2 linked regions of the Macaca mulatta genome follow. The protein of the gene in region 2 binds, or shares a complex with, the protein of the main gene of each other region. Links are inferred from orthologs where the notes say so. Each region holds a gene or a part of one and is shown on either strand. Other genes may lie near its edges.

What was found. The genes of interacting proteins can lie anywhere in the genome.
Region 1: the proteins of CRB1 (region 2) and PALS1 are in contact, whole or in part, in a crystal structure (PDB 4UU5), measured with the Homo sapiens proteins. The link is inferred for Macaca mulatta from reciprocal best matches to the Homo sapiens genes CRB1 and PALS1. Residues at the interface, in NP_957705.1 of Homo sapiens: Ala1401, Met1402, Glu1403, Arg1404, Leu1405, Ile1406; in NP_071919.2 of Homo sapiens: Lys261, Pro266, Leu267, Gly268, Ala269, Thr270, Val271, Arg272, Asn273, Ser281, Arg282, Val284, Val314, Asn315, Val317, Phe318, Leu321.

What each region holds. Positions count from the first base shown.
Region 1 is NC_133412.1:140,469,126-140,477,090, reverse strand, and holds part of PALS1 (protein PALS1), read right to left. Parts: intron 5,165-7,965; coding exon 5,087-5,164; intron 4,575-5,086; coding exon 4,428-4,574; intron 4,106-4,427; coding exon 3,944-4,105; intron 3,012-3,943; coding exon 2,934-3,011; intron 1-2,933. UniProt on the Homo sapiens protein: Plays a role in tight junction biogenesis and in the establishment of cell polarity in epithelial cells.
Region 2 is NC_133406.1:55,029,902-55,037,866, forward strand, and holds part of CRB1 (protein crumbs homolog 1), read left to right. Parts: intron 1-3,689; coding exon 3,690-4,646; intron 4,647-7,965. UniProt on the Homo sapiens protein: Plays a role in photoreceptor morphogenesis in the retina. May maintain cell polarization and adhesion.

The DNA.
Region 1 (7,965 bases), on a different chromosome or scaffold from region 2:
CCTGTTATCCCAGCTGCTCGGGAGGCTGAGGCAGGAGAATTGCTTGAACCTGGGAGGTAGAGATTGCAGTGAGCCGAGATTGCGCCATTGCACTCCAGTCTGGGCAACAAGAATGAAACTCCATCTCAAAAAAAAAAATGATAAAATAAAAATAAATAAATACAAAAATACCTTAAAATGCTGTATTTTTGGCTGGGTACGGTGGCTCACACCTGTAATCTAGCACTTTGGGAGGCCAAGGCAGGTAGATCACCTGAGGTCAGAAGTTTGAGACCAGCCTGGCCAACACAGTGAAACCCTATCTCTGCTAAAAATACAAAAATTAGCTGGATGTGGTGACATGCACTTGTAGTCTCAGCTACTTGGGAGGCTGAGGCAGGAGAACTGCTTGAACCTGGGAGGCGGAGGTTGCAGTGAGCCCAGATGGTGCCACTGCTTGCCTCGGTGACAGAGTGAGACTCCAACTAAAAAGAAAAAGAAAAAAAAAGAAAAGAAAAAGAAAAAGCTGCATTTTAAAAGGGATAGACCTGGCCTGGCATTTTGCTCTTTCTCCCACTTTCTTCATTTTTAAGCTACTTCATTTTCCAGTTAAGTAGTTCCTGAGATTATTCACCATGAACCTATATTCCTTTGGTCTTCAGATTAAACCAGCCTTTTATTCTTAATCAATAATGAAAGGTGGGGGTTAAATAACCACCAAAGTATAAGTAAGTTATTTCATTCTTAGGTTGAAACAATCTGTGTAAATTAATTACTTTGATATTCTGTTTTGTATACAATGAGAATCAACAAGTTTCAATGTAACACTTCGATTAATTTTATCAATGAAAAAAATGGCTTTTCTTTTACAGAATTCCAAATTCTGCATGAATAGCAGGAAAAAAAATGTTGAGAAAACACATCTTGGCTGGGCATTGTGGCTCACATCTGTAATCCCAAAACTTTGGGAGGCTGAGGCAGGTGGACCGCTTGAGCTCAGGAGTTCGAGACCATTCTGGGCAACATAGTGAAACCCACCTCTACCAAAAGTACAAAAAATTAGCTGGATGTGGTGGTATGCATCTGTGGTCCCGGCTACTAGGGAGGCTAAGGTAGGAGGACTGCTTGAGCCCAGGCAGTCAGGGCTGCAGTGAGTCATGATCACACCACTGCACTCCAGCCTGGGCAATAGAGCCAGATCCCACCTCAACAACAACAACAACAACAACAACAACAAACAAACAAACAAAAAAACATGGCTTAACTTCCGACATTCATTCTAAAAGACAAAAGTCATTTGCTCAGGAGGGGTGGATTATTGTAGATAAGTAAGTAGGAGCATATTCCAACCCTCTGTTATGTTTCCTCAGTTTGCAGAGCTACTTTTGAAGTTCAGGGCATAACACAGAAGAGATACAAGGAACCGCACAATGCACAGAGAATCAAGCTGTTTGAATTCAAAGACAAGCTATATTTCCTCATTTCTCTTCCTACAAAAAATTGCAAACATAAAGTAGGTTGCAGATACAATATCAACTTCAGTGTGTTCTGTAAAAAATGAAGGGAAAACATGGAATGATAGCCAAATTATAAAGCATTATCTGTGATGAAATATTGAGAGAAAAATGAAACTGTGTTGTTTCTCAAACTGCTATGCTTTAAAGTTAAGAATAACAGATGCAATACATCAAGCTTCCATGTTAATTCAGCACTTCAAAGTCTATCATTTTTAAATAGCTTTATTGACACATAATTCATATAAAATTCACTCATGTACACAACTGGACGGTTTCAGTATATTCACAGATTTGTACCATCATCACCACAAACAATTTTAGAACATTTTTATCCCCTCAAAAAGAAACTTGGAACTGATTAGCAATCACCATTCTCTCATAACTCCTTATCTCCACATCTAAGGAATTACTAATCTGCTTTCTCTCCTACGGATTTACCTATTCTGGACATTTTAAATAAATGAACCAATAAATGACCTTTTGTGACTGGCTTCTTTCACTCAGCATAATTTCTTCAAGGTTCATCCATGTTGTAGCATGTATCAGTATTTTAGTCTTCTAAAATTACCAAATAATATCCCATCATACATACATATTTTGTCTTTCATTCATCACCTGACAGACATTTGGGTTGTTACTACTTTCTAGCTACTATGAATGTTGCTACTGTGAACATTCATGTAGATGTTCTTATGTGAATATATGTTTTCAGTCCTCTTGGATATGTACTTTGGAATGCAATTGCTTGACTGTATGGTAATGGAGCCTAACTTTTAATAGATCTAGCTGAGTAAATGTCTAACAGAACAATATACTCTAAAATAAGGGTTGCACATACTTTTTAAAAGCACTTGCCCCACCCCATACTAAGTTAACCCATCTGTAACTACCAAAAAAAAAAAAAATTCAGAAACTGAAATTATTTTCTACTTTTTATTTTAAAAAGGTACAGAGTTGGCTGGATGTGATGGCTCACACCTGTAATCCCAGCACTTTGGAAGGCCAAGGTAGGCAGATCACATGAAGCCAGGAGTTCAAGACCAGCCTGGCCAACATGGCAAAACCCTGTCTCTACTAAAAATACAAAAATTAGCTGGGCGTGGTGGCATGTGCCTGGAATCACAGCTACTCAAGAGGCTGAGGTGGGAGAATCATTTGAACCTGGAAGGCATAGGTTGCAGTGAGCCAAGATCACACCACTGCACTCCAGCCTGGGCAACAGATGGAGACTCCATCTCCCACCTTCCAAAAAAAAAAAGGTGCAGAGTTTACTAATTTAAAACATTGATAGTTCATATTTATTTAAACAAAAATGATTGAATTTATCTGTATTTGAGTACAGGAAATACTTAGTGACATTTCTGTAACAGTAAACAGTAACAGAAGCAAACAGCAGCCATGGAACACATAAATAATGAACATTTAAAAATCACTTACTACTGTTTCCTTGGCAGGAGGCGGCTTGATCTGTTGACTGGGAATCAGAACAAAAGTCAAAGTACCATGCATATCAGACTGTAATAGAAAGATCAGATTTTTAAAATTTGTATTTATGAAAATCATTCCATGATTTTATGATCTATATTCCCTAAACTGGACTATTTCAGAACCCCTCCACAGACTTAAATGACCAGAGGCATTTTGCTCTACCAAAGCAATGAATGGGGCTGGGTGAAAATAAGTGTGTGAAGATGTTTCTAGATTTTACAGCAGATAGTAGAGATTCCACTGTAATAACAGAAGCTGAATAACTAGGACCATAAATCTGGTCTGTGGGTATGTACAAAGTGATCATAAATTGCCCTCAAAAGATGTCCAGAAATGATTTTGTGATTATACTAGCACTATCCAATAGAACCTTCTCCAATGATGGAAATGTGCTATTTCTGTATCTTAATAATGGTAGCCATTAGCTACATACTGCTTCTCAGCACTTGAAATGCACCTAATGTGAATAAGGAACTGAATTTTAAATTTTACTTAATTTAAACAGAAATAGCTACATGCAGCTAGTGATTGTTATACCGGACGCTGCAGATCTATAGCACTGCTTTATCTAATATTATTAGGAAAACAACAATCAATTACAGATAATAAAATAAAAGAACACAAAAAATCATGAGGACACAGACTTTGTTTTGTTACTGTTTCCCAAGTGGCCAGTGCATATTAGGCACTCAATAAATATGTACTGAGTGAATTAATGAGTTATATTACTGATTCCAGAAAAATAAAATATATGTGATAGTGATACATCAGAAAGTAGAAAAATACCAGTGGTACCACCCAAAAATAAAACTGCTAACAAATACTGTGGAACAGTTATATCATGGAAAAATCAGGCTAGAAATCATCCAGCGCTCATAACAGTTACTTAAAAAATATTTTAAAGTCTAATAAGAACTTTCTAAAAGCTATCAATCATTCTTCTAGCTGTGTCAACTTACCAGCAAGTCAAAAACCTCATTGACATCTTTCCCCCGAATTTCAATGCCATTAATCTCTAGAACTTCATCTCCTTCATGCAACAGACCACTTTTCTCTGCAGCACCCCCTTTTACTATCCGGCTAATGATGACAGAGTCCATTTCATTACGAACTGTAGCACCCTAAAAAAAAAAAAATACATATATATATATATATCTCTCTCTCTCTCTCTCTAATTTAAAAACAAAAATAATATGATTTTTGTTAAGTATTTATTTATTTTTAAATTCTATTTTTTCTATTCAACAATACTAACCTTCAGTTAAGAAAAAATGTATTTACACAACTAGAGTAATCATAATTAGATTTAAAAGTTGACCATTTCCCCCACATTTTCCACTTCAGAAATACTCTATTCATTAGAATTCTGAAGTTAACCAGACTTCTGAAGCACACAACAGCAGAAAAATGCACTTGTTTAAAAACAGTATGTGGGACACTTACCAATGGAATATCACGAGCCTTTTCTATACGAACTATTTTTACAGTTTCTCCTCCATACTGGCCAATACTTTCATAAACTCTCTCATCTGTAATGGGCTCTAGCTGCATTTCCTGTTCAGCAACCTTATCGTGGGCCAGTAAAAGTGCCTGTTTCAAAGAAATCCATGGTATTTTAAGTAACAGCATGATTTAGTTCTGCACAGTGATTTTTAACCTCACTATGTACATAGTATTCTGACCATTAAATCTTTAAAAGAGCTATAATTAATTACAGCTAATAATAAAGATGTGTTAAGTATACTAAGGGCATACTCTGGAATGGGTTATGAAAGTCTAAAATGCTTATTAAACTTCATAAAATAACATCAATGTAAAGGCTTAAACACTGTAGATAATTAAAACTTACAGAAAATATCACCAAAGGGGGGAAGAATTTTTGCCTAACTTTTAAAGAAAAAGTTGTTTCAAAATAATTTAGTTCATTTTAAATCTGAAAATATATAATCCAACAATAACTACTATGTTATAGATGGGGTTGTAAACATCAAAATAGGCTAGAGAATGTTTGACATCTCTTCCAGCCCTGGGATCTTTGATTTAAAAAAATAAAAGAACAACACTGGAAAAACCACATATATAATATTCTGTCCATTTTCTACCTGAATATGTGGAGTATTCAGCAAAGCAGTTAGTTCTTGTCCTTCCTTATGATGGACTGGCTTCAAAACAGTTTGTACCTAAGAAACAAAAATAAAGATTATTCTTCCTAGATTATAGGAAGTATCAGTAGCACCTGTATGCAGGGTCATATTTTTTTAAAGTACAAATTAAAATAATAAAAAATGCTTGTAAGAAATAAAATCACCAAAAAGAATCATGAGAGTTTTCAATCTTGTTATTATGGATAACAACAGTACTTCTTATTAAAAAAAAAACACTAAGATTTTGGTACTTATGCCTATAGACAAAATACTTCCATCTTGAAAGTTTCTCCCAACATACCATAAAATTCATTAATAATTACATAAGAAAAGAAAAACTGTCCTAACAGTTACCTTGCTATTTTATAGTTTTTAAATCATTTATGTGACTATTTAAAATCAGAGATGACAACTTAAAGAGTTATAGTCAAGGCTGGGCGCAGTGGCTCACACCTGTAATTCCAGCACTTTGGGAGGCTGAGGCAAGTGGATTGCTTGAGTCCAGGAGTTTGAGACCAGCCTGGGCAACATAGTGAGACCCTGTCTCTATTTTATAAATTTTTTTATATAATTAAAAAAAAAAAGAGTGACAGTCTAACAAGATGAATTTATATGAGTGCAATGGAACAATCACCATAACATAATGGATTACATTAAATTTCCCACAGTCGAGAAATCTTTGTCTTCCTACGATAAACTCCCCTTGCTTATAAATTTTTTTAGCCTGTTTCCTTATCTACTACTTATGGTGCTTCAAAGACTGATTAAGAAAATCTTAAAACAGGCCAGATGCAATGGTTCACACCAGTAATCCCAGCACTTTGGGAGGCCAAAGCAGGCAGATCACTTGCAGTCAGGAGTTCAAGACCAGCACGGCCAAAATGGCAAAATACTGTCTCTACTAAAAATACAAAAATTAGCCAACCGTGGTGGTGTGTGCCTGTAATTCCAGCTACTCAAGAGGCTGAGGCATGAGAATGACTTGAACCCATGAGGTAGAGGTTGTAGTGAGTTAAGATGGTGCCACTGCACTCCAGCCTGGATGATGTAATGAGACTGTCTCAAAAAAAAAAAAAAGAGTAACTTATAATTAATACAGGAACCCAGTAATTCTATACCTTTTATGGCTATTTTAAATCATTTTATCAGTAATTTCCCTATGAAACCCAAGAGATGATAATTTGGGGATTAATTAACTTTACCATAGCAAGTGGATCAAAGCAATGACAGTACCAAAACCAGTCTGTCCTCAGGTTTTGGTACTTAGAAAATTATATTTCTAATTGTAGAGTTCTATATGTATAAACGGGATGGCAGAGCAAATATTATCTTCTCCAAGAACTCAACTAAAATCTTACAATGGACAAGGCTTTAAGGCTTTAAGACCCAGGATTTAAGACTGTGGGTAACTAAAAGTTGTTTTTAAAAGAGGGTATTTTCCCTTTTAAAGTTTATCAAGTCTACATTAATTTTAAATGAAATTTGTAGTCTTGATCATACACCTTTTGACAGCTGAAGAAACTCTGAGGATGGGAAGATAATTCTGGATTAAAAATGTACCAAGGGTGTACACTTTTACACTGAGTCAGCTCAATAATAATTTTCTGTATCAGAGATTCTTTCCATATTCCCACTTCTAAGTCAGTTCCTAAACATCTCTGAGATCCTCCCTTCTAAAGAAATTTAGAACTCCCGTGTTTACCCACTGCCCTACTAACCTATATGTTGCTTATTCTAGTGTCAACACATACCATCAGCTACTTCTACAATGGCGTTAAGGAATTAAAAAGCTATTCTTTTATTCTACTGCTCCTTTCCATTGGCCTATAAAAATGCCCTAATCTCTTATCTTTAAAAATACCTTTTCCTGACCTTGTACACTTCTTTAGCTATACTACTTTTCCTTGTTTCCTTCAGAAGCAAGATCTTTTTGCATTTTAAAACTAATTTTTTAATTATAAAAATGATTTTAAATGTGAAAAATCAGAAAATTGATAAGCAAAAGGAAGGAAGTACAAAGATGGACTTTTATTATACTTAGGGATAATCACTTTCGTATATATCCTTCCTTCATTTTTCTACTTGTTTTTACCAAAATATTTACCTTGATATATGTATCTGACAAAGAACTTGTAGCCAGAATATATTAAGAACTCTTACAACTCAAGACGATTAAAATGGAAAGAGATTTGACTGGATATTTCACAAAAGATAGAGAAACAGCCAATACACATATAGAATAATGCTAAATATCATTAGTCGCTATGTAAATGCAAATCAAAACAAGATACTATTACCTACCTACTAGAATCATAAACAGGAAACAACCTACATATTCATCAATAGGTGAGTGGTCAAATTGTGGGATATTGAAAGAATGAAATGATAGTCAGCAATTTACAAACTACTGATACAAGAACAACATGGATGAATCTCAAAAACATTATACTAAGCAAAAGTCTGACAGAAAAGACTACCTGTTGTTTTATTACATTTATATGAAATGCCCACAAATGACAAATTTGTAAAACAGAAAGCAAATCCATGGATATTCATAGGGCCTGAGGATTGAAAGAGGTGATTATTGTCTGCAAAGGGCCATGGGAGAGAAGCTCTATGGAGTGATGGATGCTTCTATTAACTTGATGGCAGTTGTACATTTTACAGATGTACATATATGTCAAAATACACTGAACTATACAATAAAATACACTCATTTTAAGTGCATGTAAATTACATCTCAATAAAATCAGTTACTCCAAAAATGTACCCATAACATCTAAACTTTGAGAAAATTTCTATGTATATATCCCTTCTTTATTCTTCACATTTATTTT
Region 2 (7,965 bases):
CTGGGCAACAGCGTGAGACTCCGTCTCAAAAAAAAAAAAAAAAAAGAATTGTTGCTGTGCTGTGTTGGAAAGCAAATGCGCTCCCCTCCTACTGCAGGTTAAGTGGACGTGAATCCTGTGGTTCAGATGGGGAACCCATGGTAGGAGCATTAGTAGGTAGTTTGTGTAAGAAGAGTTCTTCTCAATAGGCCTCTGTTGGAAGGTGAAAGAATCCTACTAAAAGAGTTGATAAAGAAGGAAGCAGGAGTAAACGTCAATAAACCAATAGCAAAGGGGTTGAGGGAGGAGCAAATATGAGCCGTCAGTAAAAGGAGAGGCAATGTCTGCCTGCCTTCACAGTACTCTAGAGTGAGTCCCAGCTGGAGGAATAGAGTGGGCTCCAAGGAACTCATAAGTGCCCCTTATAACAAATACCAACTTTAAACACCTCCCAGTCTCAGAAACCATGGAACCATATTGTATCAGTCAGGTGAATAATTTCTGTACTCCTTCCCCCGTTTTTTGACACCAACTTCAGTCTTCTAGGGGACAGAACACATAAATCTGAGGGTGGAGACAATGGAAGAATAGAAAGAGGGAAGAAGGCTTCCGAATACTCCTTCAAGACAGCCTGAAGTTAGCCTAGCAAAGACGATTTTATTCTAAATTGCATTGAGACTTTTGATCATTCTATGTGACTGGCCATTCTAATTGCTGTGGGTGTTTTTTTTTAAGAGATCGTGACACTACTATCAAATAGTAAGCCGAAAAGTCCTGGGGTCTGCTGAAGATTTTTATCTAGAGGCAATGAAACCCTTCCCCAGTTAAATATGTTTCAAGATAGGGCGGGAGAAAAAATCATGTTTTGCTTTTGTTATGCTGTATAAGTTATTCAATAGTTTTACCCTCAAATACTTGTTATTACTTTTTTTGTTCTTAAAATGCTTTGAAAATCAAGTTTAAGTAAAATATCTTCTAGTACAAAAGTTTCAACTTTTCATATTCAGTTATATTAAACTTATATTGGAACACCCCTTTAGAATATACTGTAGTTTACCTGTAATTCCTATGTCAGTTTTCTGTGCTTCCCAGGATGACTATATAACAAATAGATTAGTTCCATTCAGTTCTATTCTTTCTATTCATCAAACATTTAATAATTCATACCCTCAGCACTGTACAGGTGTTGTGGGTGGCTCTAAGTAAGATTATAACATGTCCACTGTTTTCACAGAGCTTGAAATATTTTTGAGTTGACTAAGCTTGTATGAAAGTAATCCTAGTACAGTAAAATATAAGTACAATAGAGTCCAATCAAGTGCCTAGATATGTAGATCATAAATGGCAGTAGATCATCAAAGATTAACATTGCATACATTTATCTAAAAGTTTACACAAAGAAAGCACTTTGGTTTTGAATCAGATTGAATGCATTATAAAAATATTTAATCACTTTAGGAAAGTCATAATGAATTCATTCATTCCAAAATTAATTACTAAATAGCTAATACAAGCCAGGTACTATGCTGTTTTAGACATACATCGGTGAATAAAACAGACATTTTCCTTCCATCAAGGAAAGCACAATTTGATGAGATTCTAGACTAATATGCTGTCCAAGTAAATCCCTCATATAAAATTATGCAATTTACAGGGCATTACACATGCCCACACTTTCTAAATAGTTTATCTCAATGACTACGGTACTATTTGAATTTTGTCATTAGAGGATAATTCTTTCTTACTACTTTTTAGTAATGGCCAATACTTATTGAGAACTTGTTATATACCAGACAATGTTATGAATATTTACATGTCTTATCTTGTTTAATCTTTAAAAGAGCCTTGTGATGTAAATGCTATTATTAATCCCATTCATAGATGAGGAAGCTGAAATACAGAAAGTGTGTGTAACCTGCTCATGATCAAGCAGTATAGCTGGGGTTCTGATCCAACATCATCAATATAGGAATCTTTGGATTAATTTTTTAAAAACACGCATTTGGGCATAGAGTTAAATGGGAAAATAAGACATGCATATTAATAACAAACAATAAATGAGAATACACTAAATTATTAATTAAAAAACAGTGTGTACGATTGGATTTTTTTTTCTTTTTTTTTGAGACAAGAGTCTTGCTTTGTCGCCCAGGCTGGAGAGCAGTGGCGTGATCTTGGCTCACTGCAATCTTCACCTCCCGAGTTCGAGATTGTCCTGCCTCAGCCTTCAGAGTAGCTGGGATTACAGGCATGCGCCACCATGCTTGGCAAATTTTTGCATTTTTAGTAAAGATAGGATTTCACCGTGTTGGCCAGGCTGATCTGAAACTCCTGGCCTCAAGCAATCCGCCCGACTAGGCCTCCTAGGATTACAGGTATGAGCTACCAAGCATGGCCAGGTTGGATTTTTAAAATTTACCTAATTTAGGCCAGGTGTGGTGGCTCGCACCTGTAATCCCAGCACTTTGGGAGGCCGAGGCGAGTGGATCACGAGGTCAGGAGATCGAGACCATCCTGGCTAATGTGGTGAAACTCCGTCTCTACCAAAAAAAAAAAAAATTAGCCAGGCGTGGTGGCAGGCACCTGTAGTCCCAGCTGCTCGGGAGGCTGAGGCAGGAGAATGGTGTGAACCTGGGAGGCAGAGCTTGTAGTGAGCCAAGATTGCACTACTGCACTCCAGCCTAGGCGACAGAGCGAGACTCCATCTCAAAAACAAAACTAGTTAATTTAGGGTCTGATGGTAAAAGTGCTTTGGAATTTACACTTTGCTCTTTCTACACCTCAATGTATTCTGTGAAAGAGAACTAAAAATATCTGCTTTGAAAACCTCAGAAAATTGTAGTGAGCACAAATATAATAATTTGAATGAAGATGTTGGGGAAACCATAAAGTCCTATGCATATGTCAGTTTTTATTGTTACTCTTTGTTCATCTGAATCTCCCTGGAAAAGCAACGGCCATCCCCTTTAAAAGGTGTTATACTTCTTCGTGTTACTTTTTTTAAAATGAATTCTAATAATTTCCTAATTAGATAGCTTTTTTGACTTGGAATCAGAAAACAAAAATAGAAAGTGAAGTTAAAACAATAAACAGGAAAGGAGCTTGTTATGGTGTACACATCATGATTTACACTAGCATTGTAGGGAAGGGGGAAACGGGGACTTCCATTCACCTTAGAAGCCCTTCATGGTGAGAGCTGTTTGGACTATTTATATTTCTGGCAAACTCTTAGGAATTATGGGGAAATATAAACAAGATATAAGACAAAATCACTGTTTCCAAGTAGAATAGAATGAAATCTACAGCCAAGGACAGAATATACAATGTCTGAGAAAAAAGTCCCGAAATAAATAAATTGTATCTTACATCAATGCCAAGAGCGATCTTTTTTCTCTTTTTGGTTTGTATGATATTCAGTGCTGCATGTATATCTGACAATGATAGCTGGAATCAATCACAGTGTTTAGCAAATTATCTATTCCTAGAGGAAGAATACAAAGCCTGCCATGACTGCATCTTTTTTCTTCACGACACATGTGGAATATAGAATTGATTTTACTTTCCCTTAATAAGTGTTTACATTTTACTCCATTACAGTTCTAAATCTGAGCTATCCATGCACTTCTGCAAGATTATACATGCAAATTATGTGAAACTTCTATTTTTGATGCGAATATATCTAATTTTAACCCTTTTTTATTATGTAACAGGAATCCACTGTGAAGAAGACGTCAATGAATGTTCTTCAAACCCTTGCCAAAATGGTGGTACTTGTGAGAACTTGCCTGGGAATTATACTTGCCATTGCCCATTTGATAACCTTTCTAGAACTTTTTATGGAGGAAGGGACTGTTCTGATATTCTCCTGGGCTGTACCCATCAGCAATGCCTAAATAATGGAATATGCATCCCTCACTTCCAAGATGGCCAGCATGGATTCGGCTGCCTGTGTCCATCTGGCTACACCGGGTCCCTGTGTGAAATCGCAACCACACTTTCATTTGAGGGTGATGGTTTCCTGTGGGTCAAAACTGGCTCAGCGACAACCAAGGGCTCAGTTTGTAACATAGCCCTCAGGTTTCAGACTGTTCAGCCAGTGGCTCTTCTACTTTTCCGAGGCAACAGGGATGTGTTTGTGAAGCTGGAGCTGCTAAGTGGCTACATTCACTTATCAATTCAGGTCAACAGTCAGCCAAAGGTGCTTCTGTACATTTCCCACAACACCAGCGACGGAGAGTGGCATTTCGTGGAGGTAATATTTGCAGAGGCTGTGACCCTTACCTTAATCGACGACTCCTGTAAGGAGAAATGCATCTCGAAAGCTCCTTCTCCACTTGAAAGTGATCAATCAATATGTGCTTTTCAGAACTCCTTTTTGGGTGGTTTACCAGTGGGGACAACCAGCGATGGTGTCGCTCTACTTAAGTTCTATAATATACCATCCACACCTTCGTTTGTAGGCTGTCTCCAAGATATTAAAATTGATTGGAATCACATTACCCTGGAGAACATCTCGTCTGTCTCATCATTAAATGTCAAGGCAGGCTGTGTGAGAAAGGATTGGTGTGAAAGCCAACCTTGTCAAAGCAGAGGACGCTGCATCAACTTGTGGCTGAGTTACCAGTGTGACTGCCACAGGCCCTATAAAGGCCCCAACTGTCTGAGAGGTGAGAGAAAGCTGACTGCTATGGCTGGGAGTGCCGTGCCTCAGAGCAGAGCAGAAACAGCAAAAACAGCCACACTGCTTCTGCCTGCTATGAAACATAATGACCCCACAGGACTTCTGCTGCTGGTTGCCCACTGATGAGAAAGAAAAGAAGAGGGCAGTGATGTGCATTAATTAATTTTGAGTGGATTCACAGGGCATAAGTTTCACTCATACAGAGAAGTAAAAAAAAAAATAAGCAGATAGCTCCTTTCCAAAGAGGTTTTCATCTTTGTGTTTGCAAAATGCTCTTGCAATTTTACCATTGGTTGCATATCAGAAATGTATGTAAATCTTATTTGAAAGAGAAATAATTCTTTTGAAAAAAGGACCCTTAGACATAAAATTTGTCAGTGCCACATACTAGCATGATATCTTGTGCATAGTAAATTCTCGGTACATATTCATTTCCTTGCTCTCCTTTCTATGCAATTCACACTTGCTCCAAAATCATAATTAAGCATAGCGTTTTTATAAAACACCAATTTTATTCAAAGGTATCTTTTCCAAGGCTGCCCTGGGGAAGACAGATAATATACTAGGTGTCTTAAGGAAAAAAAAAGAAAAGAAAATGTGGAAAGTAACAATAGTAGAACTTGGTAGATGCCATAAACTAATTGATCGAATTTCTCTAGTAAACCACAGTTTGAAAAGTATTTCAAAATCCTTAACTTCCAACATTGTTCTAGAGATTGCTGTTGATAGTGATCAATACGTACCTGTTTCTTTTTATTATTATTATCATACATTGAAAAAGTCTGAGATGTAATTGTAACAGACTGCTTTGAAGTTCAGCTGTAATTTACCCCAAGATTTTAGAGTAACTTGAAGTAGGACAACATCTGGTAAGTAGTCTTCTCTGCTTTATATGAAGTAAAATTAAAACCAGTCTTAGCCTATACTCTATTCCATGTTCAAATGTCTAAGAATTATTAGAAACTACTCAAGGGTTTCCCCCTGACCACAATATTCATTACAAATCATGGACCTGTTTGACAATGAAGTATGGCATCTACTAGCTATACGTAATATTTTAAGTAGAATGGCAAGTTGTTTTGTGATTTTTTTAAGGAGAAAAAGGGAAATTATGCTGAGGCAATGTTCACTTTTTGAAGAAAAATTTAATTGACCAAAGGCAATATTTTTACTACATATACAAAATAACAAACAGATGCTGACTCATTTTGACTGGCTTCCAGATGCAGTGACCCATAAGGTTAATACTGACCATGGTGATGTTAACTGTCCTAGTAAATAGATTCAAGAGATGCCAGTCCAGTGGGTTCTGGTTTTCTTTATTTTATCCAACTTGGAAAACCATGAACTTTTCAAACCAAGTTCCTGAATTGGTTACCCTTCCCCCGCTTCTCCCAGTTTCCTTATACTCCAACATTATTTGAAACTGTTTAACCCTCATGAAAATGTTTGACTTCAAAAGATCACTTTACAGAGAGAGAGTTCTGTAAAATCTTTTCTTTCTGAAAATTCTTGGTATAAATTTAAGGAAAATTATATTTTTCATATCACTTCTTCATTAGAAAATTAAACTATTCGGTATTTTCTGTTATCTAGAAGGAATGTTTCCTGGAGCGTTTACTCCCACTACAAACAATGCTTTTAAGCAGTAATGAGAACATGGAATCTTTCTGCTACTGTACATGTGTATTCAAGAGGGAGGAGACATACTAAAAAGCACAAAGGCAAACTTCAGCCCATTCATGACTTGCACTCTTATTTAGCTCAATGTTTTCCAACCATGGTACACGCTGTAATGAACAAGGAGATTGGATAGAAGATTTTGGTGGCTGACTAAACACAAAAGACATAGTGATTTCCAATAACTCAAGGTTGATCTTTTTAAAATAATCTAATTTATCAACAGAAAGAGTACTGAAAAGGATTTAACTAAGCTTAGTTTACAGAAGTGTCCATAAAGTTCTCTCAGCATATCTTGTGTTGACTGTTTGTAAGAACATGGAGCATTCAAGATATTACTACTTAGAATAAATGACATCACCTACCTCTTGCTCTCTGGTGAATATTTGACTTACAAAAGCAATTTACATGTCTCTTCTCTTCAGCCATATACCTAGATTTTGAGAATTTTATTCTCTTAGAATTGTAGTTTCCTAGATATAGAAGAGGCTTCATTCTATGATGGAATTTTTAACACTATTGTACCTGCCAAATGTAGTGGCTCAAATCTCTGCTTAAATACCTTCAGAAATAGAGAGATCACTCACTCCGTCTTGCCAAAAATTGCCCAAAAGTTATTTCCTTATATTGAAATAAAATATGATTTGCCTGTAGCTTTCCTTCATTGACCATGTTGCAATTCTGGAAGACATGCAAATGAAAATCTGAACTTGCCTGCTACTTGAGAATACTTAATATCTGAAGAAAAGTATCTTCGGCCATCTAAGCCATCACTTCTATTCGGGCTAAACTTCCTGTTTCTTCTAATGTTTGCCATATGACATAGTTTTCCACACTTCATCAGCTGCTTGCAGGTTTTGGAATATATTTGCTGCTTTGTATTCCTTCTAAGATGTGATGTCTGTATGTCCTTGATGATACAGTGACACAGGGCCACAACCTCCCTTATTCTAGAAAATGTGCTTATGCTTTTCAGCTTAATACAACATTGACTTTTTGGCAGCCACACTTCGTGATTGCATCATTTTTTATCATTGTCACTCATGATGCCACGTAGTCCTGTTTCTCCTACTCTAAACTTATAAGGCACATTTAGATCGAAGTGGCTCTCATTTATTCTTGTTAAATTTCATCTCGTTGTATTCCATCTGTCATTAAAGCTTGTCAAAATTGTTTTTCATCTGTATATGTTGTCCCTCTTCATAACATGTCAACCACTTGTATGAGAATCACCCTTCCAAATCTACAGCCAAGTCATACATGTCTTCAGGTGTTTCTAAAATCATGTAGCAAATCGCACATGCTGACTAGTTGCTTGTGATTTCTGAGGAATAGGACTGCTGAAGAGTCAGGCTTCTGAGAAAAAAAAATAGTCTGCGTTTTGGCTTTTAATCCGGATCCACAAAGTGATGCTGAAGGCATCCTGGGATGACCAGCAGGCACCCCGCTACCCCTGAGGTTGAGTGATTCTGGGCATATCTTCAAACCTCAGGGGCTTCAAGGACCAAATTTTCTTATTAAGCATTTTATCTCATATGAAAGTGCTGCAGTGTATTCATAGATGTTAACCTCTTCAAAGGGGTTATTTTATCTAACAGTACACTTTTGAAAGCTACCGGTAGTTG